2 linked regions of the Macaca fascicularis genome follow. The protein of the gene in region 2 interacts with the protein of the main gene of each other region in a biochemical or structural test. Links are inferred from orthologs where the notes say so. Each region holds a gene or a part of one and is shown on either strand. Other genes may lie near its edges. The genes, in order: NMU and NMUR1.

Region 1 (11,923 bases), on a different chromosome or scaffold from region 2:
CATTCCTTCTCATCATTCAGGCCTCCCATAACCCCTCCTCAGAGACGCATGCCTAGATGATCCTGGCTCAAGTATCTTTCCCCCAACTGCCAGCCACCTTCTATTATTTCATTACCCCGGCTTAATTTCTTTTATAGCATTTGCTACTAGCTGAAATTGCTAATTTTAAAATTTACTTTCTTATTATCTGACTCTCTTGAAAATCTGCCAACTCCAAGGCAGAGACATCACTGCTATATCCCAAGCTCCCAGAATGGAGCCCAGTAGGTGTTCGATTAATATTTGAAGGACTTCATGATTTCACCTTGCCTAGAACGCTTACATCTTCCAGATCTTGCCTCTACTCTTAGTTCCTGAAGCTGGATATTTTTGCTTATTACTAGACTTCCCTATTGCCAACTGACTGTATATGTGTATATATGTATGTATATATGTATTCATTCATTCATTCATTCATCCACTCATAGAGACACAGTTTCACTCTATTTCCCAGGCTGGAGTGCAGTGGCACAATCAGAGCTCACTGCAACCTTAAATTCCTGGGCTCAAGCAATCCACCTGCCTCAGCCTCCTGAGTAGCTAGAACTACAGGTGCATGCCATTGCATCCAACTAAATTTTCTTTTTATTTTTTGTAGAGATGACGTTTCATTATGTTGCCCTGGCCAGTCTCAGACTCCTGGCCACAAGTGATCCTCCTACCTTAGCCTCCCAAAGCTCTAGGATTACAGGCATGAAATACCACTAAGCTGCCTGACTGGTTTTTATCTATTGCTGACTCTCTCTTTCTCCTGATATCCCACTCTCCTCCCCTTCTAATCCTTTCCATGACAACTTTTCTAGACATCTCTATCACAAGCTAGTAGGTCTTGCTAATCTGCAGGCCCTTGACCAATTGAACTTTCATTGTTACAGATTGTCAGCAGAAAGCAAAGTCCAGTTGCCAATTTGTGGTGAAGAATGCAAGAGATAATAGGTGAGAGGAATCAGCATGGCACTAAGAATCAAACTTTCAATCTGATACAGAATAAATGGAAATGCTCTCAAAGCTCGTATATATGGAATACAAGCTCAAATGAATGTGAATTTAGAAGTACAAATTGGAATGTCTGTAACTAAATTATCAAGGGACCACTGCAGTGATCTGGGATTTCACTTCTTTGCAATGCTTGGACAAAGGGGTACCTGTAGAATCAGCTTCCATTTAGCCATCTGTTCCCAGAGGAATCCAGTGCCTATCGGCCCCCACTTTTCTACTCCCCTATCTATCTTCTGTTATCATTCAAGTCACATAATGGCATGACCTTCAAGCCTGCAAGTCTTTTCCTGAACATTTCTTCAAAAATAACAACTCATATTAAAAATAATGGAAGAAAAGCCATAAATAGGGAGAAAATATTTGCCACATATTTAATCAAACAAATGTTCCCAAATACATAAAGCATTGCTATAATGATTAAGAAAAAAGTTAACAACCCAATGGGGGAAAATGGGCGAAATAAATTTTCACTGAGATATTTCACAGAAGAGGAAGCAATAATGGCCAATAATTTGTGGAAAATTACTCAACCTCTTTTAGTAAACTGGGATTCCAAATTAAGTCCACAATAAAAAGTCACACTAGCCAGGCTCAGCAGCTTATATCTATAGTCCCAACACTTTGGGAGGCTGAGGCAGGGGGATTACCTGAGGTCAAGCATTCAAAGACCAGCCTGGCCAATGTGGTGAAACTTCATCTTTACTAAAAATACAAAAATTAGCCGGGTGTGGTGGTGCACACCTGTAGTCCCAACTAGGAGACTGAGACACGAGGATCCCTTGAACTGGGAGGGAGAGGTTGGAGTGAGCCAAGATCGTGCCACTGCACTCCAGCCTGGGTAACAGAGTGAGACTCCATCTCAAAAAACAAGAAGGAAAAAAAAAAAAAAGGAAAGAAGTCACACTCACCATATTGACAAAGGTTTCTGCATGAATGAATAGCCATGGAAACGTCATTCATGGTTGGTGGGAATGTAAATTGGTATAACACTTTGGAAAACAGTGTAAAACAGAGATTAGCTAGGTCATCCCCTATGACCTAATGACTCCACTCCTGGGAACATTCCTCAGAAAACTCTTGCACGTGTACACTAGGGGGCATGTACAAGAACGTTCTAAGCAGGCTGGTTCATGCAAGGAAAAAAAAAAAAAAACTTTAATACACAAGTTGTTTATTTTGCTGACTTGTTGGGGATATAAAAAACATTAAGCCCACTGTTTCAGGCTTCTCTGCTCTGGCTGACATTTCACGCTCACACTGGCTGCTGGGACTGGTGATCTTTCAGTGCACCTCTGGGAGACACCAGGAAGAATGTCATAGGGAAGCAGAGCCATGTTCACCTGCTTGCATCCGTAGGTCATTTACATCCTTTGTGCTCTTTTTTTTCTTTTTTTACTACTTTGGGAATAAATCAAAGTACAAGAATCTTGAATCAAATATTTTCTCACCCATCCCTGAACTTGGACCAGACCCTATAATCCAGCCTTTCTTACACGCTTCCTGTGTATAAAGAATTTAAAGAAGGTGGCCATTATTTTTTTACCTAATCTGTCAGGGTTTTACTCCTGCCTCTCTTCGTATTTCTGACAGAGCACTATCCCAATCTGCCTTGTAATTCAGCTATTTGAGTAAGGGTTTAGGGTCCTTTACCAAGTTATAACTTCCTTAGGAGAGAAAGATCCTACTGTCACTAAATCTTGTATCCCCAAAGGTCAGGTCTTGCTTACAGTAGGTTGAGCTGTGTGTGCCTAATACATTAAAACTCTGTATTTAGGGAGAAGTATCTTGGTGGAGTAGAATAGCCAGTGGCTGCCTCACGTGCTGACAGCCCTGAGCAGATTGTTTAATCCCTCTTGGCATCATAAATGAGAATTTCAGTACTTCTACATCCCAGAGATGCCATGAATATTAAATAAAATAACACGAGAAAATGCCTGACGCAAAAGTGCCCCTTCAGAAATGTTAATGTACTTCCTGCCCTTTCCTCGGCGTTCCTCGCCTTTCAAAGGGAGGTCAAATAAGACCGGTTTTCACACACTGGGACCTATGGGGGGGGGGTGGGGTGCGGGGACAGGGGGAGCATCAGGAAAAATAGCTAATGCATTCTGGGCTTAATTCCTAGGTGATAGGTTGATAGGTACAGCAAACCACTATGGAACACGTTTAGCTATGGGACAAACCGGCACATCCTGCGCATGTACCCCGGAACTTGAAATAATAATAATAAAGACGAGGTTTCCCTCTTTCTGTAGAAGGAAATTAGGACTGTATTAGCTGGTGTCCTGGAAGAGGCTGCTTCCTGAACGTTTCCAATCAAGGAAAGTATAGAGATGGAAAGAGGGAGTCAGGTCACGGTAGAAATCAGGATGCAATAGCAGCAGAAATGCATAGAAAAAGGAGTTTCCTTAGGCTTGGAAATCCGTAGGATAACCAGCGCTCCAGAGCTGTTAGAAATGTGTGTGGTCAAGCCCCAGCAGTCCTTTCTTCTTTATCTTTTATTAACAGGCAACTGCATTTCCCTAAGGGGTCTGTGATTTTGCAGGAATTTGGGGGAGGGTAGATAGCATCAACATCACCGTTGAACCAGCACTGCCCTGATATGCACCAGGCATTGAGCTTGGACCTGGGGATAAACCGGGGAACAAAACAGAGGCGCTTCCACAGAGGTGCGTACTAGGGGCTGCCGGAGCTCTAGCAGAGGTGAAGGAGAAAGCGCGTCCCACGCAGACCCAGGAAACCAGACAGCGTCGCCACTACCAAGTTTAAAAACTCAGACGGCCTGGTTTGCCATCTCCATTGTGTTCCCACTCCAGTCCTTCCAAAGGTGTGAATGGTGCATTATTTAAAGTCCATTCTCTTTATCCCAGAGCGAAAATGCGTAGTACTTGGGTCAGAAACTCAGGCCAGAGGGCTCGGGTCCCCCTGCAGGGTGGGGCGCGGGCAGGCAGTGGGGCGGGTGACGCGGGGTAGGCCGGGGGTGGCAGGCGGCGAGGTGACGTGCGGCGGGGACTGCGCAGCCCAGCCCACGTGTGCGCGAGATTTAAAAGTTGTCGGCGCGTCGGGCGCTCAGTTCTGTGTGTGGGCCCCGCGAGCGGCGCTCCAGGGCCGCTGGAGGCACTGCCAGGGCACCAGGTGGAGCACCAGCTCGGCGTGGCGCAGCGCAGGGTCCCTAGCAGCGAGCCTCCCGCAGCCGCCGAGATGCTGCGAACAGCGAGCTGCCCCCCAAGGTCGCCCCCCGGACAGGGGGCCGCGGCGTCCACGCTCCTGCTGCTGCTGCTGCTCGCCTGCTGCGCGGGCGCCTGCAGAGGTAAGACGGCCCCGCACCCGGCCGCCGCCACACCATGCGCGCCTCTCTCTGGCTCCACTCACCACTCTCTCCCGCCCTTTCTTTCACCTTCACTTGGTTTCTGGGACTTCTCTTGGCTTCTCTGGTGCCGCGGGATTTCCCGCCTCCCAGGCACAGATCGCCCCACTAGAGCAACTAGCAACATAGGAGCAAGGGGCCCGGCCGGGGCCGAAATCCCCAGGCCCCGCGCGTTGATGCCCAGCGGAGACCCTGCGCTGGGCCGACTGCGATAGGTGGAGACTGGTAGGGCTCCCTCATCCTCGGGATTTCCAGCCCCGCTGGCCCGTGGAAACGGGTATTAAAATAGTGAACGTTAAAATGCCTTCCCTTTGATTGCAATTATTGAAGGGATTGATGGTCGAAGCAAAACAAGAGTGAGCCTGATACTTCGTCCGCTGAGGCAAGGTAAACTTGGCGAGTGCTCAGCCTGTTTGGTGAGTGAGCTCGTGTTATGTTGACATAAACCTGAGCGGTACAACGGGCCCCACGCGCTAACCGCTTAGAAGGGGGAAGGAGTGGGCTTTGTGTTTTATCGGTTTTCAGGCACTAGATCAGGAAAAGGAATAGAGAACTTCTCATCACACAAAGTTGAAGAGGCAAATGTGCAAGCCAGGCTTTCAGGCAGTGCGACAGCTACAGCAAGTGATGGCAGATGTGATTTGATAACAATAGGGACTTCCTGAGCTTGGCTTAGAGGAAAGAAATAGGAAACGCAAGGTCAGGGAAGGAGATCGGAAGCTTTGGAGACATAGCCGAGCAGAATGCAAACGTTCTGGAGAGATTTGCATGGAGAGATCATTTTCTGGGTTCTCCAAGGGTTACAGCTTACGTTTGCAGGTGGCTTATGGGCACCATTATTCATCCCCAAGTCAGGGGTCCCTCCATTGTCAACCACTGCCTGGCTACATCCATAAATTTTCTAGCTTGGCAGGAGGTTCTCTTAGCTTCCCTCTGCTCTCCAGTCAGTGAGGTAAAAGTGGCAGACTGTTGTGTCATTGTTCAGAACGTTGGGTACTTAAAATCACAACTGCAGAGCCTGTAGTCCAGCCCTCAATTAGAGATGGGGAAATAGAGACCGCTATGCTTTTCCTAATCTATTTATTTTTACTGTTCTCCTCTCATTGTTTTGATTTTGTCCTTTCCTGAGGCATTGGAGGGGTGCGTGTGTGTGTGTGTGTGTGTGTGTGTGTGTGTGTGTGTGTGAGAGAGAGAGAGAGAGAGAGAGAGAGAGAGAGAGAGAGACTCCCCTACTTGAAAAGCAAGATAATTTGGCTTTGAAATCCAGGCAGTCAGAAGCTAGCAAACCCAAACGTTCTCCACATAGCCAGTAGTGATACATTACTTTCTCCCAAGGTAAATGTTCATCTTTTAGGATTTTAAATATATTATTGGTAACTTTGGATGGTAATCTTTATCTGCCTTCTTAAGGATGCAGATAAGCATAGTTTGAAAAGTGACTTTGCTATGTAAAGAAAATGGATTTCTATGCATTTGCATGCTATATGCTTGCAGTGAATTTGGCATCAGTGAATTTTGCATGCAGAGAAATTTGCATCAGAGATAACTGCCTTGGGATGGGTTGGAGAATTTCAGACTGCTGGTGATTGAACAGTATAGAAAGCAGCAGCTGGTTCCTAAAAGAGATGAGTCTTGGTTTTTATTTCCAAAAGAGCATATCTGCTGACATACCAATCGTCTCGTAGATAACCCCAATATTTTTCAAGCAAAAGAATGAGATACTTCCTTTACTACCCAGAAGCCCCCTAGATTGCCCTTTTGCATCTTCATTCCCCTTCAGACCTGCTATGAATACTAAAAAGTGAATTGTATCTCTTTAAAAATGTGGTAGGATGGGGAGAGGGTGAATAGCCATGTGATCTGTCCGAGTCCTGAGTCCCTAAAGATGGCACCGAGGGGGACGTGACATACATAAGCAAAACCCAGAGATTATCTACCATGGTCAATCATCATGCAAGATGCAACTGGATGCCTCAAAAAACAACACAACAAATGTTGCAATGCTAGAGGAAAATAAAAGTGTCATTAAATGCAGCATCCTTGGAAAAAAAAAGATAAAGGGTCAGCCACAGATTCAGTGGATGGAAACAATTTACTATTCAGAGCACACTAGTAAAATAAAGAAGGAAAATAAACACACTAGTAAAATAAAAAAAGATAAAGGGTCATGCGAAGATAAAGGGTCAGCCACAGATTCAGTGGATGGAAACAATTTACTATTCAGAGCACACTAGTAAAATAAAGAAGGAAACTTATATAAGAGGAACACATTTTGGATATCTGCAACAAACTGTTACTTGATTTTGCCTGTGACAATAAGTTATCAAATGGTCAAGACTAAGTTAAGGAGTGTCTTTTCCTGCCCAGGCCTCTTGCTCATAGAATAATTCTTAACGTTCACTTGACAGTAAAGATTTCTCACTTCCCAAACCCACAGTGAAGTACATACTCGCCATGAGAAAAGAAAATTGGCACTACTTTTAGAATAATCAGGTCTGTCTTTCTTATACATAATGTATTTACGGATGTACAAGTTTTTATTTTCAGCAGAGTATACTGTATAATACTGAAGATTTCACTTTGCTAAATAGTAATGAAGTATAAATATCTTGAAGTTTCTCACTGAAACTTATCAAAAACAGTACAGTTATGATACAGGCACTGTCTCTGAAAACACGGAAAGTGATCTAAGTACAGTATTGCTCTTTGACAGTGTGAAGTCCATATCCAGAATGAAAATCACATTGACTCTAATTAACACATAGACAAAGGAAAGAATAACTCCCCCTTACGTTTGGGTTCAGTCATAGGATATTAGTCGTCAGTCTTTTTCTTTTCGTGAGACGGAGTCTCGCTCTGTCGCCCAGGCTGGAGTGCAGTGGCCTCATCTGGGCTCACTGCAAGCTCCGCCTCTTGGGTTCACCCCATTCTCCAGCCTCAGCCTCCCGAATAGCTGTAACTACAGGTGCCTGCCACCATGCCCGGCTAATTTTCTTGTATTTTTAGTGGAGATGGGGTTTCATCGTGTTAGCCAGGATGGTCTTGATCTTCGGACCTCATGATCCGCCCGTCTCGTCCTCCCAAAGTGTTGGGATTACAGGCGTGAACCACTGTGCCTGGCCAGGATATTAGTCGTTTTCTACAAATCATAGAATTTTAAAAAAATTTTTGTCTCTTCTTATCTTTTTTTTTTAACCATGAAACTGTGTTTACATGTTTTTAGAAGGGCCACAAAATGTCCTTTTTCTATTTTATGGAAGTGCCTGGGGCTAAGTTAGGCATAGTGGCCTTTCTAAGTGGCCCATGCGAGCTTGGGAATTGGAAGGAAGCAAACTCTCCATGGTCCTGATGAGGCGGTGTGTCTGAACACAGTGAAGTTGAGGTGGAAGCTTCCACTTTTACTGGGGGCCAGGGATGGTCAAAAGTATAAGAATAAAAAATAGCATTATTTAAACAGGAATGCTCTGTCAAACAGAATCTCATTAAGTGAGATCACCAGGTGTTTTATATGGAAATTTGAGAAGCACAGCTTTATCCCTTCCTGAAAACAATGAGCTCCGGGTAGGATCTACCAGACAACTGTGACTTTGGGATATATGTTTATGGTAGGGTGAGAAATAGATATTTGAGAAGTGTGTAAGATTGTTTACCCACATTCAATAGTTGTCCCATGAGAGGGGACTCTGTCAGGTTCTGAAATAAAGCCACTCTTTTATGGACTGCATGACCTCTCTAAGTTGTTTCTAATGCTTAGTGCCACAGAAAATGTAGTTGATTACTGTCATTATTATTGCTGTTATCAGAACTTAAATGAAATAACAGTAAAAACTTGTATGAATTCAAGGCAAGAGTTGCCTAAAACATGATAGAATTAGGAAAAAAAAATCTGTCAGGATATGCAATCAACCAGACTGATTTTCTGAGTTTTTAGTGCACCTGTCATCCAAGAAACATACACTATACCCAATATGTAGTCTTTTATCCCCCAGCCTCCTCCTAGCCTCCCACCTCAGAGTCCCCAAAGTCCATTACATCACTCTATGTCTTATGTCCTCATAGCTTAGCTCCCACTTATAAGTGATAACATATGGTATTTAGTTTCCCATTCACTTCAAATAATGGCCTCCAGCTCCATCCAAGTTGCTGCAAAAGACATTACTTGGTTCCTTTTTATGGCTGAGAGATAGTCCATGGTGTATATATACACCACATTTTCTTTATCCACTTGTTGGTCAATAAGAACATAGGTTGTTTCCATATCTTTGCAGTTGCAAATTTTGCTGCTATAAACATGTGTGCGCATGTGTCTTTTTCATATAATGACTTCTTTTCCTTTGGATGGATACCTTGGATGGATACCAGTAGTGGGATTGCTGGATCAACCCATAGATCTACTTTTGGTTCTTTAAGGAATTTCCATACTGTTTTCCATAGTGGTTGTACTAGTTTACATTCCCACCAGTAGTGTAAAAGTGTACCCTTTTTACACATCCATGCCAACATCTATTGTTTTATGACTTTTTAATTATGGCTGTTCTTGCAGGAGTAAGGTATTAACTTGTGGTTTTAATTTGCATTTCCCTGATGATTAGTGATGCTGAGCATTTTTTTTCATATGTTTGCTGGCTCTTTGTATATCTTCTTTTGAGAAATGTCTATTCATGTTCTTTGCCAACTTTTTGATGGGATTGTTTTTTTCTTGCTGATTTGAGTTCCTCGTAGATTCTGGATACTAGTCCTTTGTTGGATGCATAGTTTGCATATATTTTCTCCTACTCTGTGGGTTCTCTGTTTACTCTGCTGATTATTTCTTTTGCTGTGCAGAAGCTTTTTAGTTTAATTAGGTCCCATTTATTTATTTTAGTTTTTGTTGCTTTTGCTTTTGGGGTTTTAGTCACAAATTCTTCGCCTAAGCCAATGTCCAAAAGCGTTTTTCCAATGGACCTTCTAGAATTTTTATTGTCTCAAGTCTTATATTTAAGTCCTTGATATGTCTCAAGTTGATTTTTAAGGTGAGAGATAAGGATCCACTTTCATTCTTCTGTATGTGGCTTGTCAGTTTTCCTAGCACCATTTATTGAATAAGGGTGTACTTTCTCCAATTTATGTTTTTGTATACTTTATTGAAGAATAGTTGGTTTTAAGTATTTGGCTTTATTTCTTTGTTCTCTATTCTTTTCCATTGGTCTAAATGCCTATTTTTATACCAGTACCATACAGTTTTGGTAACTATAGCCTTATAGTGTAATTTGAAGTCCAGTAATGTGATGCCTCCAGATGCATTCTTTTTGCTTAGTATTGCTTTGGCTATGTGGGCTCTTTTTGGTTTTATTTTAGGATTGTTTTTTCTAGTTCTGTAAAAAATGATGTTGATATTTTGATGGGAATTGCATTGAATCTGTAGATTGCTTTGGGCAGTATGATCATTTTCACAATATTCAGTCTTCCAATTAATGAGCATGAGGTGTGTTTCTATTTGTCTGTAGACATAAGTAATTCATTCTTGAGAGTAATATCTTTGTAATGTTATTAAGGTTTGTTTAGTAATTATGTCTCCTTGTACTAAATCTAATGCTGAAATATTTAGTTGAAATAGGTGGGTGATAATGTACAGTGAAAAATGAAGAAAGTGTCCAAGAAAGAATTATATATGGATATTTAATTTTAGAAGGAATGCTATAAAATTAACCTGTGGCTATAACTTTATTTTTAGGTGCTCCAATATCACCTCAAGGATTACAGCCTGCACAACAGCTACAGTTGTGGAATGAGGTAAGGAACTATCATCACACAAATTTGTAGAAACTTTACCCTTCTTTGAAATTATCATGTTAAAATCTATAATTGAGCTTTGGGAGAACTATGATTTTACCAATAATCTCATAATAAAACCCAGAATTACTATTTTTATTAAATAAAAGAGAAGGAAAGAAGAAAAGAAACAAAAATTTTGTAAATGGTTAACAGGGCAGAAACAAATGCCAATAACAGGATAAAATAGAATAATACAAGAACAGAGTAATTACAGTAAATGTGTATGTACTTAAAAGACAGAGGTTCTAAGATTGGATTTAAAAAATAGATCCAGATATATATTGTCTATCAGTATCACACTTAAAACAGAAAACAAAAAAAGACTAAGTATAAAAGGATGGACAATGATGTAGCAAGCAAATACAAACTGAAAGAGAATATATCTGATCAAATAGAATTCAAATAAATAAACCGTCATAACAGACAAATAAGGATCTTATATGTTAATAAAAGAAAACCAGAACAAGAAAATATAGACATCATTAATATAAACTAATAATGCAACCTTAAAATTTATTTAACAACTGATAGACCTTCAGGAAAAAAATAAAAACATTATAACTCAAAACGTATAAGCTACAGCTAAAACAGTAGCTAGAGAGAAATTTTAGCTTCATATGTGTTTATCAGGAGAGAAGAAAATTTAAAAACATTAATAAGCTAAGCATTCTGCTAAAAATGAGGTGAAAAAGAACAGGGAAAATTAGAAGAAACACGAAAGAAGTAAATAATAAAAATAAGCAGGGCGTGCTGGCTCATGCCTGTAATCCCAGCACTTTGGGGGGCCGAGGTGGGCGGATCACGAGATCAGGAGTTCGAGACCAGCCCAGTCAACATAGTAAAACCCCATCTACTAATAACACAAAAATTACCTGGACATGGTGGCACGTGCCTGTAATCCCAGCTACTTGGGAGGCTGGGAGGCGGAGGTTGCAGTGAGCCGAGATGGCACCACTGCACTCCAGCCTGGGCGGCAGAGTGAGACTCCATCTCAAAAAAGAATAAATAATAATAGTAAAAATAATAATGGCAGCAATAAATTTTTTAAAAAGAGTGGAGCAGGGCCGGGCGCGGTGGCTCAAGCCTGTAATCCCAGCACTTTGGGAGGCCGAGGCGAGTGGATCACAAGGTCAGGAGATCGAGACCATCCTGGCTAACACGGTGAAACCCCGTCTCTACTAAAAAATACAAAAAACTAGCCAGGCGAGGTGGCGGGCGCCTGTAGTCCCAGCTGCTCGGGAGGCTGAGGCAGGAGAATGGCGTGAACCCGGGAGGCGGAGGCTGCAGTGAGCTGAGATCCGGCCACTGCACTCCAGCCTGGGTGACAGAACAAGACTCCGTCTCAAAAAAAAAAAAAAAAAAAAAAAAAAGAGTGGAGCAACAGTTTTAGCAAAACCATATATTTGTTCTTTCAGTAAGTTAAACGCTGGTGGTACTGATTTCAAAAGGCAAAGGGGAAGGCAAAGAAACAAGATATAGACCAAAAAAGGTAGAACCCAAGAAAAATAGAGATATAAAAAAAAGTTTAAAAATAATATTATGGATAATTGATTGTGTGATGGATGGTTGCACAACTCTGTAAATACACTAAAAACCTTTGAGTTGTGCACTTTAAGTGGGTGAATTGTATGGCTTGTGGATTATATCTCAGTAAAGCTGTTAAAAAGAAAGTATGGACAGCTATCTGGTAATAATTCTGAAATTAGA
Region 2 (11,867 bases):
TGTCTCAGGGTAGCTGGGAGGGGTAGCTGAAATTTCCTACTTCGGAACAGGCTGTGTAGAATCTGCCGTCGTGAGTTTTGTGAGTCAAAATAGAGAAAGAAGTGTTTGAACTTCCAGTTCCCAGATATGGTTCCCCAAATAGGCATGTGAATCGGCCCTTCAGAGTTTTAAAATCTGGATTTTCTTATCTTCTTCGCAGACACATATTCTCCCGGGCATCTTTTTGCAAAATGGTTTTGCTAACCTTGTGAGCCTGCCGGGACAAGCTGTCCCCCAACCCTGCGTCTCACAATGCCTTGTGACTGCATTGTGCCCACGCTAGCTGTGCCTTTGACGAGGGTGCCTTTGACGAGGGCTTGAATCCCTGAGTGGCAGGGTCATCTGTGGTTTGTTCGGGCTGCTTGGCACCTGGGCTGTCTGCCAGGGGCTGTGGATGACCCACTGGGTGGGTAATCTGCCCTCCTCCCCTCCAGAAGGCTACAAGACCCATGCTCACCCCACCCATGCAGCAAGAGTGCGGCAGCAGAACCTGATTTTGTGGCATCCTGTCTCTCACCCCGGGGCAGGGGGTCCAGGGCAAGTGCTTCAAAAGGCGGGGACATGGTCCCAGCCTGGGGCTAGTGTCCACGGGCTGCAGGGTCACACTGCCAACCCTTCTAGCTGCAGCCCCACCGTCTCCCTGCCCCTCTAGCCTTGTTAATTCTGTGAGCTGCCGGATGTTCTTCAGGAAATCCGGCCTAAATCAGCCAGAGCCAGCTCTGATTTTTGAAAACCAAGATCCTTACCTGTTGCAGTAGCTCACACCTGTAATCCCAGCACTTTGGGAGGCCGAGATGGGTGGATCACTTAAGGCCAGGAGTTCGAGACCAGCCTGGACAACATAGTGAAACCCCATCTCTACAAGAAATACAAAAATTAGGCTAGGCACGGTGGCTCACGCCTGTAATCCCAGCACTTTGGGAGGAAGAAGCAGGTGGATCACGAGGTCAGGAGATCGAGACCATCCTAACACAGTGAAACCCTGTCTCTACTAAAAATACAAAAAAGTAGCCGGGCGTGGTGGCAGGCGCCTGTAGTTCCAGCTACTCTGGAAGCTGAGGCAGGAGAATGGCGTGAACCCGGGAGGCGGAACTTGTAGTGAGCCAAGATCGAGCCACTGCACTCCAGCCTGAGCTAGTGAGACTCCGTCTCAGAAAAAAAAAAAAGAAATACAAAAATTAGCCAGGCATGATGGCACGTGCCTGCAGTTACAACTACTTGAGAAGCTGAGGTGGGAGGATTGATTGAGCCAGGCAGGTTGAGGCTGCAGTGAGCCGAGATCGCACCACTGCACTCCAGCCTGGGTGACAGACCGAGACCCTCTCTCAAAAAACAAAACAACAACAACAACAAAAAACCATTCAACAGGAACATCTTCTGGCACCCTGTCTTTCAGTCTTCACATACCTGGCCTTCTCTTAGCTTTAGGCCAACCGTGCCCGTGCTGGTGCCCGCTCCTCCATCACACACCCTCAGTGCACCTGCCTTTGGTCCCCTTTCCCTGTATCCAACAGTTGCTGTTGATACGCCCAGCACTGTTTACTTACCTCCTGATTCAGTCTTTATTCCTAAGAACACCCCAACCCTAGAAAGACACATTCCGTATGCATGCACCACTGTCATTTCATTTCCACTTTCCGGTTCTTTGATATTATTTCCCCCAATTTAGTGTTATTCCCTTTGTAATGCTGACCTTCCTCGCACTCTGAATATTTACTGCTTTAGTATCTATTGGCTGTGGCAGCAGCCTGCCTTGGGAACAGGCGATAATGGAGAAGGTTTGGAAAAGAGTAATTGAATTGACTAAAAGTGGCCTGCTTTTTAGTATCACGATGTGCCGGTGATTCTAATCATTGTCGGTGATAAACTATTACTCCCGCCAGGCGGACTGCCGCCTTAACACCTACTGCCTGGTAGGCCACTGCCTAGTGGACAGGAGGAACTAATGGTATTCATAGAACACTTCGAAACTCAACCAAAACAGAAACATTTAGTGGTAAAGGCGCATTATGTCTGCAACCGACTCTCATAGTCCCCCCCAAAATATAGGAATCCTTTGTACTATTCTTTCAACTTTCCTGTAGGTCTGAAATAATGCTAATATAAAAGGTTAAAAAGGTCAGGACCGGGCGCGGTGGTTCACACCTGTAATCCCAGCACTTTGGGAGGCCAAGGTGGATGCATGACCTGAGGTCAGGAGTTCAAAACCAGCCTGACCAACATAGTGAAACCATGTCTCTACCAAAAATACAAAATTAGCCGGGTGTGGTGGCATGCACCTGTAATCTCAACTACTTGGGAGGTTGAGGCAGGAGAATTGCTTAAACTGGAGAGGTGGAGGTTGCAGTGAGCTGAGATTGCACCATTGCACTCCAGCCTGGGCAACAAGAGTGAAATTCCGTCTGAGAAAAAAAAAAAAAAAAAAAAAAAAAGTTAAAAGGGAAAAGAAGACAAAACTACTAAATTAGCGCAAACTGCTGCAGACTAACAAGTTCCTGAGTCCTGATGCCGGTCAGCTGTTGCTGGGGGAGAAACTTTTGTTCTTAAACCTCCCTCTGATCGTGACTATGATATGAGCATTTATAAATGGGAAGACCCCAAGAGGAGCTTCTGTAACACACCCAAGTGTGGTTTGTTAGCTGGGAAGGCTGGTGGACTTGAGGGTGGCCTTTATTGCTTGGAGGAGTAGGTGCCACGAGCACCCTGTGGGCTCACAGTAAGATCTGGCCCCAGTCCAGGATGGCATGAGGGACACACAGGCCCTAGACATGAGAGACCCAGGCTTTTTCTGGCCTTCTCACTGTGTGACTTGAACATGTCCTCCCTTTGGCCACAAGCGGACGTTGGGGCCTGGTACACAGGCTGAGCCCCTGGGAGGAGGTGGCTGGTGCCCTGTGCCCAGCACCCTTCCTGAAGCCTGCGGGCTGGCTGTCTCTGGGAGAGCTCAGGAACAGGTCTCACAGCCCTCAGGGGGCAAGGGACTAGACAATCCCCAGTGGTCCCCTCGAGGAGCAAGAGAGGCAGGGGCGACACTCCCCTGAGGTCCCCTCCACTGCTGGTCCCCACCTGGCTGCAGGGCCCCGGCTGCCTGCACTGTGGCCGGACTCCCTGCAAGCCTGTATGTTCCTTTCCACTGGGACTCAGCTCTCCTGCCCGGGGTGCTGGGGACCTTGCTCTTCCAAACCCTGCTAAGGACAGCTCCCACCCCAGCCCTGCCTCCCAGCAGCTTTCTAGTGTCTTCCAGAGAATTCCAGGCTCTTCAACCCTGCACTGAGTGCTTAAACCCACATTATCCCTCTTAATCTTCATGGTATCCCTGAAGGACAGGGGCTATTTTTGTGTTTACAGGCAAGGAAGCTGAGGCCTGAAGTGCAAAGTGGCTTATCTGAGGCCACACTGGCAGAACATGGATTCTCACTCTGGCCTCACAGCCTCCAAAGCCTGTACTCACTGTGTTCTCTGCCTGGCTTGACCATCTCTCCCACCAGTTTCTATGAGCAGACTAGGGCTGGTGGCTCAGGGAGCATGGGTGGATGATCACACACAAGCCATGTGGCTCCCTGAGGTGCAATCCCAGCCCCCAAGTTGGGAACCCCATCACCTGAGGAGCCCAGACCTTCCTCCTCTCTCTCCTGGCCATGGCCAGGCTGACCCCGCAGAGCAGAGCTGGGTGGGGAGCTCTCTGACCTTGGGAGGTGCCCAGACGGGTACAGTGACTCCCCCTTGCTTCGGATATTTACTGTTCTGGTTCTCCATGTTTGCCCGATGACGCCCAGTGATGGGGGGTCCTGGGTGGTCCCCACTGCCCAGGCTGCAGAACAGTGCCTCCCTTGCGTCCAGAGCTATAGTGTCCCCAAGCTCATCTCATCCTCCCTGCCTCCCCTCTGTAGACAGTAAAGTGGGATGGGTGTGGGGAGTTTCTAGGGGAACCATGGGCTTGCCAGGAGCTGCTGGTCACCCCAAGGCTGAGAAGCTTCTGGTTTAAACCTGCCCTGGGTTTAAGCAGCCCCTCTTGGCTCTCAGGGAATCAGCAGGGCAAGGAGGGGATACGGAGCTACTCACATGCCTCTGGCCCCATGAGTCCTGCACATGCCTGGGACTTGGGTGGTATCTCAGCAGCTCCTGGAGGTCCTGGTGGCCCCCCCCAAGTGCATTTGCTGTTGTGTAGAGTTGGGTCCTTGACCCCCTCATCTGGGCAGACGCCCACCAGCCAAGCTTAGAAGATGGATGTGTACACCCAGAAAACCGGGGGACGCCACCTCAGGACGGAGCAGGAGCAGCAGGATGTCATACATTTCTGATGGGACACTACCGTGGTGGCCTTGAGCTCAGGCCCAGAGACCAGGACCCCTAGGGCCCTCTGCACAGTGGCAGAAGTGAGGGCCACAGCCATTGTGGCCACTGAGCCTCTCCTTTTTGGGGGCTGCTCTTTAGCGTTTGATGGCTGCTAGTGCTGTGCGAATGATGCAGCCTGCTGTAGGAAATTTCTGACTGGCAAGAGTCACTCTGCCTCTGCAAGGCTGGGTGGGTCCTTCCCCATCCCCTCCAGGGCCGTGTGCACCAAAGGGTCCACAGGGACTTTTGGACTGCTCAGAGTGTGTGCAGAATGGTATGTGTGTATGTGTGTGTGCGGTGGTATGTGCAGAGTGATGTGTGCATGCATGTGTGTGTACATGCATGTGCGTGTGTGTGCGTGTGTGTGCGTGTGTGTGTTCCAGTGAAAGGCTGGGGTCCAAATGCTCATCACTTGCTATGAGCAGCCTGTGATGCCACAGTGGGCTCTGTTGCTGAGTGATGTCATCCCTCCTTGCCCAGACCCGTTATTGAGAATTTCTCCTGGACTAGCTCATCCGGGGCTGAATAGTTAATTCTCAGGGCACCACAGAATCCTTTCTCCCAAGGCCCTGGGGACCATGTGCCCCTGCACTTCCCACAACCGTCCCCTGCCTGGGACTCTGTTTACATGTGGAGTTCGTGGGAAGGCCGGCCTGGTGCTGGCGCCTTGAGGGCCTAACTCCCATCCCCAAGCCCAGACAGTGACTTATGGAATTGGGCGGCAGTGGGGAGGAGAAGGGTGCAGGAAAGCTGGGGGAAGAAGGAGCCTCCCACCACTAAATGATGACAATCCTACCCCACATTTCTTGATTGCTGGCCATGTGCCAGCCTCTGTGCTGAATCTTGACGCTCAGTGTCTCATGTCATCCTCACAATAGTGGCGATGGTGGTTAGCGCATTCTACAGGAAGGGGAACTGAGGCACAGAGCTTGGGAGCTCACAGTGGCTCTCGGGGTCCTGCGGCTTTGTAGCCTCTCCTGGCGCTCCTCAAAGTGTGATTCCTGGGTATGGGCTCTCCAGAGAGCGTTGGTCAGACATGAGGATTTCTGGGCCTTGCCCAGACTAAGGAGACCAAACTCTGGGCAAAGGCCCCGGAACCAGCATTTTAGTCTGCGTGATCAGTCGTTTCTAGGGTCCCTAGAAGTTCCTGATGAAACAGCTTCCAGCTAAGGAGCTGACTGCAGGACTAGGGAGTGGGGGCAGGTGAGGCACTGGGATTTGCATGTGGGCAGTGTGGGGGAGCAGGAGGCTGTGGCTGGGCATCCTTAGCCTTCCCTAAATTCCCTCCATCCTTGTTATACCCCCACCCTTTGTACAGTGATGGGGGCAGAAGAACATTTGAACGGATAAGGGGGACAGTATTTGGGGCTGAGGACCATGGTGAGGAGAGGGTGGCCCAGGGAGGCAGGTGAGGAGTGGGGGGGTCCACCACCAGGCTAGACTTGGGTGTGCTCTTTTTCAGAAGGCAGCGGGGGGCCCCAAGGAAGGGTTTTGAGGCGTGATGGTCATTGGTGGCTGTGGGAGGATGGACTACGAGGAGAATGGGGGCTCCTGCCCAGTCCCGCAGGGCCGAGCCCCTGGACTTAGGGCCTGGAGGCCCCGAAGGGAGCGGCGGGTGAGAGGGGCTGCGGAGGCCGCAATCGTGGGCCCTGGGACGGAAGAAGAGGGCTGGAGCCTGGGAGGATGAACCCCACCGGCGCATGTCGACTTCAAGGGGCTAGTGGGCCGTCCCTGTCCTTGGAGGTGGGTCTGAATGTGGGGCAGGAGGAGCTGGAGGCTGCAGGGACACTGTGACACAGGGTTATGCTAAACTCAGCACGCTAGAGAGCGGGAACCGCATGTGAGCCCCAGGTCTCTCGGGCTCCTCCTCTGCAGCTCTCTAAGGCTCGGTTTTCTCATCTGTAAAATGGGTTCGCGAGATAACGCTGCTTGTGAAGACGTCGCCTGCGACAGCCGCGTACTTCCCGGTGCGGGAGGGGGCGCCCCCCGGGCTGCAGGGACTGCACTGCCCCCTGGCGGCGTTCCCGGTCGGACAGGCGGGGCGTAGTGGGGCTGGGACAGCCGTCAGTCAGTCCACCCGCTCCCGCGCCGCGTCTGTGTCAGTCGCTCAGAGGGTGGACGCCGGGGTCTCGCGGGCCGCAGGCCGATGGTAGGTGCGCAGGCGCCGGCGTGGGCTAGGGCGCGGCGGCTGGGCCGGGGCTCGGTGCGGGCAGGGTCGTCCTAGAGCGGGAAGAGTCCGAGGACTCCGTCGGGGCGACCCCCGCCCCCGCCACTGGGGAGCCTCGCAACTTCTCGGGTCATTTGTGTCTTCCGGCCAGGGGCGCCACGGGGCTGCGGGCTTGCGACCCTTCCTCGAGGACCGGGGCGCCTCCCTCGAGGACCAGGGTGCCTCCCTTGAACCCAGGCTGGCGCCTGCGCGTTCTCAACTGGTCCCCGAGGCTCTCGCGCTACTGTGCGGCAGGGGTGAGGACGGGCGGGAGGAACGGTGTGGGGCTCAATAGAGGAGAGGGAACCCCAGAACTGGCAGTGCCAAGGGCGTCAAATATGGAGACTGAACAGTTCAGGTGACAGAAAACAGAAAAAAGAATCAACTTGTGGATCAAGTTTAATTTGTAGTGTTTAGCCTTGACACTCCCTCACTTGACCCTCATAGTGACTGGGTCCCCGGAGCAAGGGGGTGATCCCCGTGCCCTTCCGTATGCCAGGCAGGCCCTGTGTTAATATCTTTCATGGATTAAACTCCCTGGATCCTCCTAATAGAGAAACAGCCTCAGAGAGGTTACCTCGCTGAACATCACACAGCTTGGAACTGGGGATGCTGGATTCGAATCCAGGCAGTTGCTTCTAGAGCGCTTGCTCTTGAAGACCCTGCAATACCAGGCATTGTGCCCATTTTACAGATGCCCAAACGAGTGCCTCATCTAGCATCATTGCTTGAAAGGGGAGACACCCAAGATGTGTCATTTATTCAAAAGTTCCAATAGATCCTGAAATTTAAAATCAAAACCCCACGTGTTTTTTTTTTTAATGTAGATTTTTACTTTTTGTTTGTTTGTTAGTTTTGAGACAGGGTATTTCTCTGTTGCCCAGGCTGGAGTCCAGCGGCACGATCTCGGCTCACTGCAACCTCTGTCTCCTGGGTTCAAACGATTCTCCCACCTCAGCCTCCCAAGTAGAATTACAGGCGTGTGCTACCACACCCGGCTAATTTTTGTATTGTTAGTAGAGGTGGGGTTTCACCATATTGGCCAGGCTGGTCTTGAACTCCTGACCTCAAGTGATCCACCCGCCTTGACCTCCCAAAGTATTGGGATTACAGGTGTGAGCCACCGCACCAAGCTTATTTTCACATCTCTGACTTGTGGATGGAAGAGTTTTTTCTCTCAGTGGTGCCTAAGATAATGGTCATCTTAGTGCTAATGTCACCTTTGGCTTGATGAGTTAAGACAGAGCCAGCATTCCCTGAATGACCTTTCTGGGCATTTCTCCCCTCTGTTCCACAGACTCCTCCTTGCCTCAATTGCTCTGTCCTCCCTGGAGACCTGTACCCAGGGGATGCAAGGAGCCCCATGGCTTGCAATGGCAGTGCGGCCAGGGGGCACTTTGACCCTGAGGACTTGAACCTGACCGATGAGGCACTGAGATTAAAGTACCTGGGGCCCCGGCAGACACAGCTGTTCATGCCCATCTGTGTCATGTACCTGCTGATCTTCACGGTGGGCGCTGTGGGCAATGGGCTGACCTGTCTGGTCATCCTGCGCCACAAGGCCATGCGCACGCCCACCAACTACTACCTCTTCAGCCTGGCCGTGTCAGACCTGCTGGTGCTGCTGGTGGGCCTGCCCCTGGAGCTCTATGAGATGTGGCACAACTACCCCTTCCTGCTGGGTGCTGGTGGCTGCTATTTCCGCACACTGCTGTTCGAGATGGTCTGCCTGGCCTCAGTGCTCAACGTCACTGCCCTGAGCGTGGAACGCTATGTGGCCGTGGTGCACCCGCTCCAGGCCAGGTCCATGGTGACACAGGCCCACGTGCGCCGAGTGCTTGGGGCTGTCTGGGGTCTTGCCATCCTCTGCTCCCTGCCCAACACCAGCCTGCACGGCATCCAGCAGCTGTATGTGCCCTGCCGGGGCCCAGTGCCAGACTCAGATCTTTGCACGCTGGTCCGCCCACGGGCCCTCTACAACCTGGCGGTGCAGATCACTGCGCTGCTCTTCTTCTGCCTGCCCATGGCTGTCATCAGCGTGCTCTACCTGCTCATTGGGCTGCGACTGCGGCGGGAGAGGCTACTGCTCATGCAGGAGGCTAAGGGCAGGGGCTCTGCAGCAGCCATGTCCAGAGACACCTGCAGGCTCCAGCGGCGCGATCGGGGCCGGAGACAAGTGACCAAGATGCTGTGTAAGTGTCACGGCTGGGAAGAGGGGCTGAGCCAGGTACTGGGGCTCCTGGGGTCTGGGAGAAGGGGCTGAGTGTCTGGGTTTACAGGGGGCGAGGAACTCCTCTAGTCTCGTGTGTGTGTGCGTGTGCGTGTGTACATGTGTGCATGTGTCTGAGTTGCACTCTTGTGTACTCTTTTAGATTACCCCACTAGAATCTTACACCAAAAATACCTATTAATGGCTAAATGTAAGACTGACTGTGTAATTTATGGAGTCCAGTGCAAAATGAAAATTCAAGGTCCCTTTTTCAAAAATGAGTAAGACAGCAACAATACAGCATTAAACCAAGCCCAGGACCCTGCTAAGCTTGGGGCCCTGACTCTGGAACCAAAACATAGAAAGGGCAGGGCATGTGATTGGGCTCCAGGATGACAGAAAATGGGATCTGGACCCTCCAGGTCTCAGGTCTCTCATCGTCGTCTTCTTTTTTTTTTTGAGACAGGGTCTTGCTCTGTCACCCAGGCAGTACAGTGGTGTGACCACGGCTCACTGCAGCCTCAACCTCCCAGGCTCAAGCGATCCTTCTACCTCACTCAGCCTAAGTAGCTGGGGCTACAGGCATGTGCCACCATGCCCAGCTAATTTTTTCATTTTTGTAGAGACAGGGTCTCGCTATGTTGCCAAAGTGGGTCTTGAACTCCTGGGCTCAAGTGATCCTCCCACCTCAGCCTCCCAAAGTGCTGGGATTACAGGCATAAGCCATTGCGCCCGGCTCTTCTTGGTTATTAACGTGTCTTGGCCTTGTTCTTCTCGGCAGCAGCCTGCGAGGCATGGCCACCGGCACGTCGTCGTCTTTCCTGAGGAACTGCCCTCTTCCCTTAGAGATGAGTGAAAAGTCCCAAGAAGGATTCTGATGGGTGGGGCCTAGGTCATGCCCCACCTCCTGCGCCAGAGTGGCAGGATGCCAAGGTGCACAGCCCCCAGTGGAACTACATAGTGGGATCTGGGGGAGCAAAGTCCCCCAAAGAAGGGGAGGAGGGTGTTGGAGAGGCCAGGTGTCGAATTTCCCCCATGCCATGTCTGCCGTTCCCTGGGAACCACAGGAGTGACCATTTATCTAAGGAGCCCCAGCCCGAGGCGAGTCTGTAAAGGCCACGCTCAAGGCACAGGGGATCAGGCTGGAGATGTGCAGATTAGGGGAGGCCAATGTACTGGGATGAGGCTCTGGATCTCTGTGGCCTGGACCTGGCTCTTTTTCAAAAGCTGTGGCCCTGGGGAAGCAAGGCAGACCGATGCTAAGCCGATCAAAGACCCGCCCCATCCACCTACCTGCATCCCAGCTCAGCCCCACCTCAGCAGAGCCTGAATCAGGCCAGTGGGGTGAGCCAGGTCAGCAGAGGGCCACAGAGACTTTGGACAGAGCCAGCTAACTGGGGGCCGCCCCATCCCCAGAGTGACTCGCTCCTCTCGCCCCTCAGGCACCGTCCCAGAGCCCAGTCTTCGTGCAGCTCCTGAGGTGGGGCTGACCCCAGAGCTGTGTGCATGCCTCCCAGCTCTGCACTGTGGAACCGTGCTCAGCACCGGCTGCCCGCTGCCGCCCTGCCTCCTGCCTGCTACCCCGTCCCCTCCCTGAAAACATGGGTGGGCAGAGTCTGCAGTAGGTGCTCAGCTTGGATGGCTCACCCCTGGAAGGTGGGCTTCCTGCTTGCTGGCCTTCTCTCTTCCTTCCCTCCCTCCCTTGTCCACTGTCCAGTGGCCCTCTGTGCACCAGGCCAGGTGCCAGGGAGGTTGTGAGCAACGTCCTTTTTGAAATCTGGAATTATGAGGAAAACCATGCTAGGGTATGATGGGGAAGACACTGCCCAGGAAAGCTAGTGAGTTGCAGCAGCAAACCCAAGAAACAAGAAACAAAAATCATGGCTGGCCCTGTGGCAGAAACCCAAGGAAGGGCATAGTTGGGTAAGAACAGGCAGCAGGGATTTGGGGAGAAAGAGTGAAGGTTTGGCCAAATGGTCCTACCTTTTGTTAGGGAGGGGGTGGGCAAGGGCCTGGCAAGTAAGAGGGGGGCAGGTTAGTGCAGGGCGAGACATTCAGATGGGCCTTGGGGAGCTGGGGGCTGGAGTTGAAAAGGCCAGGGGCCAAGGCAGGCAGTGTGTATGTGTGTGCATGTGTGTGTCTGTGTGTGCATATGTGTGTGCATGCATGTGTGTGTGTCTGTGTGTGCATGCATGTGTGTGTCTCATGTGTCTCACTCTCCCTGGTCCCATGACCTCCGGTCTGCTGCTCTCTGAGCACCCATTCTTCTTCTTTTCTGTACTTATGCATCAGCAAGCACGGTCCCCAAGTGGGCATCCAGAGTGGCCCTAGCCCCACAGCCTGTAGCACGCCAGTAGCTCACCCAATTTCATACTCCAGGGTGAGAATCTGATTGGGCCGGCTGGGCTCAGGTGTCCATGCCTGGTCCAGTCGGCTGTGGCCAGAGGCAGGGACATGCCCCACTGCCTATAGTCAGTGACTGTGGTGAAGGCAGCCTCTCTGAGAGGCATGGCCAGAACAGGCAAATTTCCAGAAACTTCCACCTGGGTGATAGGTGAGGGTGGCCTGTGGGATAGGAGAGGATGTGAGAATGGGTGACCCAAACTGAAGTCTGGGAAGGCAGCTGAGGGGCTCCGGTGGACACTCTGCCTCCCTTGTCTGTCCCTGCAGTTGTCCTGGTTGTGGTGTTTGGCATCTGCTGGGCCCCGTTCCACACCGACCGCGTCATGTGGAGCATCGTGTCACAGTGGACAGACGGCCTGCACCTGGCCTTTCAGCATGTGCATGTCATCTCCGGCATCTTCTTCTACCTCGGCTCGGCGGCCAACCCCGTGCTCTACAGCCTCATGTCCAGCCGCTTCCGAGAGACATTCCAGGAGGCCCTGTGCCTCGGGGCCCACTGCCACCGCCTCAGACCCCGCCACAGCTCCCACAGCCTCAGCAGGGTGACCACAGGCAGCACCCTGTGTGACGTAGGCTCCCCAGGCAGCAGGGTCCACCCCCTGGCTGGGGACGATGGCCCAGAGGGGCAGCAAGAGACTGATTTATCCTGAGTGGAGCCTCAAAGTGGCTTCACCT

The links.
Region 1: the proteins of NMUR1 (region 2) and NMU form a complex in vitro, tested with the Homo sapiens proteins (2 studies listed by BioGRID). The link is inferred for Macaca fascicularis from reciprocal best matches to the Homo sapiens genes NMUR1 and NMU.

The regions. Positions count from the first base shown.
Region 1 is NC_088379.1:78,259,516-78,271,438, forward strand, and holds the start of NMU (neuromedin-U), read left to right. Parts: upstream 1-4,106; 5' UTR 4,107-4,236; coding exon 4,237-4,345; intron 4,346-4,436; exon of another isoform or gene 4,437-4,818; intron 4,819-10,115; coding exon 10,116-10,174; intron 10,175-11,923.
Region 2 is NC_088386.1:127,447,726-127,459,592, reverse strand, and holds the start of NMUR1 (neuromedin-U receptor 1), read left to right. Parts: upstream 1-6,412; 5' UTR 6,413-6,520; coding exon 6,521-6,523; intron 6,524-7,877; coding exon 7,878-8,772; intron 8,773-11,459; coding exon 11,460-11,842; 3' UTR 11,843-11,867. UniProt on the Homo sapiens protein: Receptor for the neuromedin-U and neuromedin-S neuropeptides.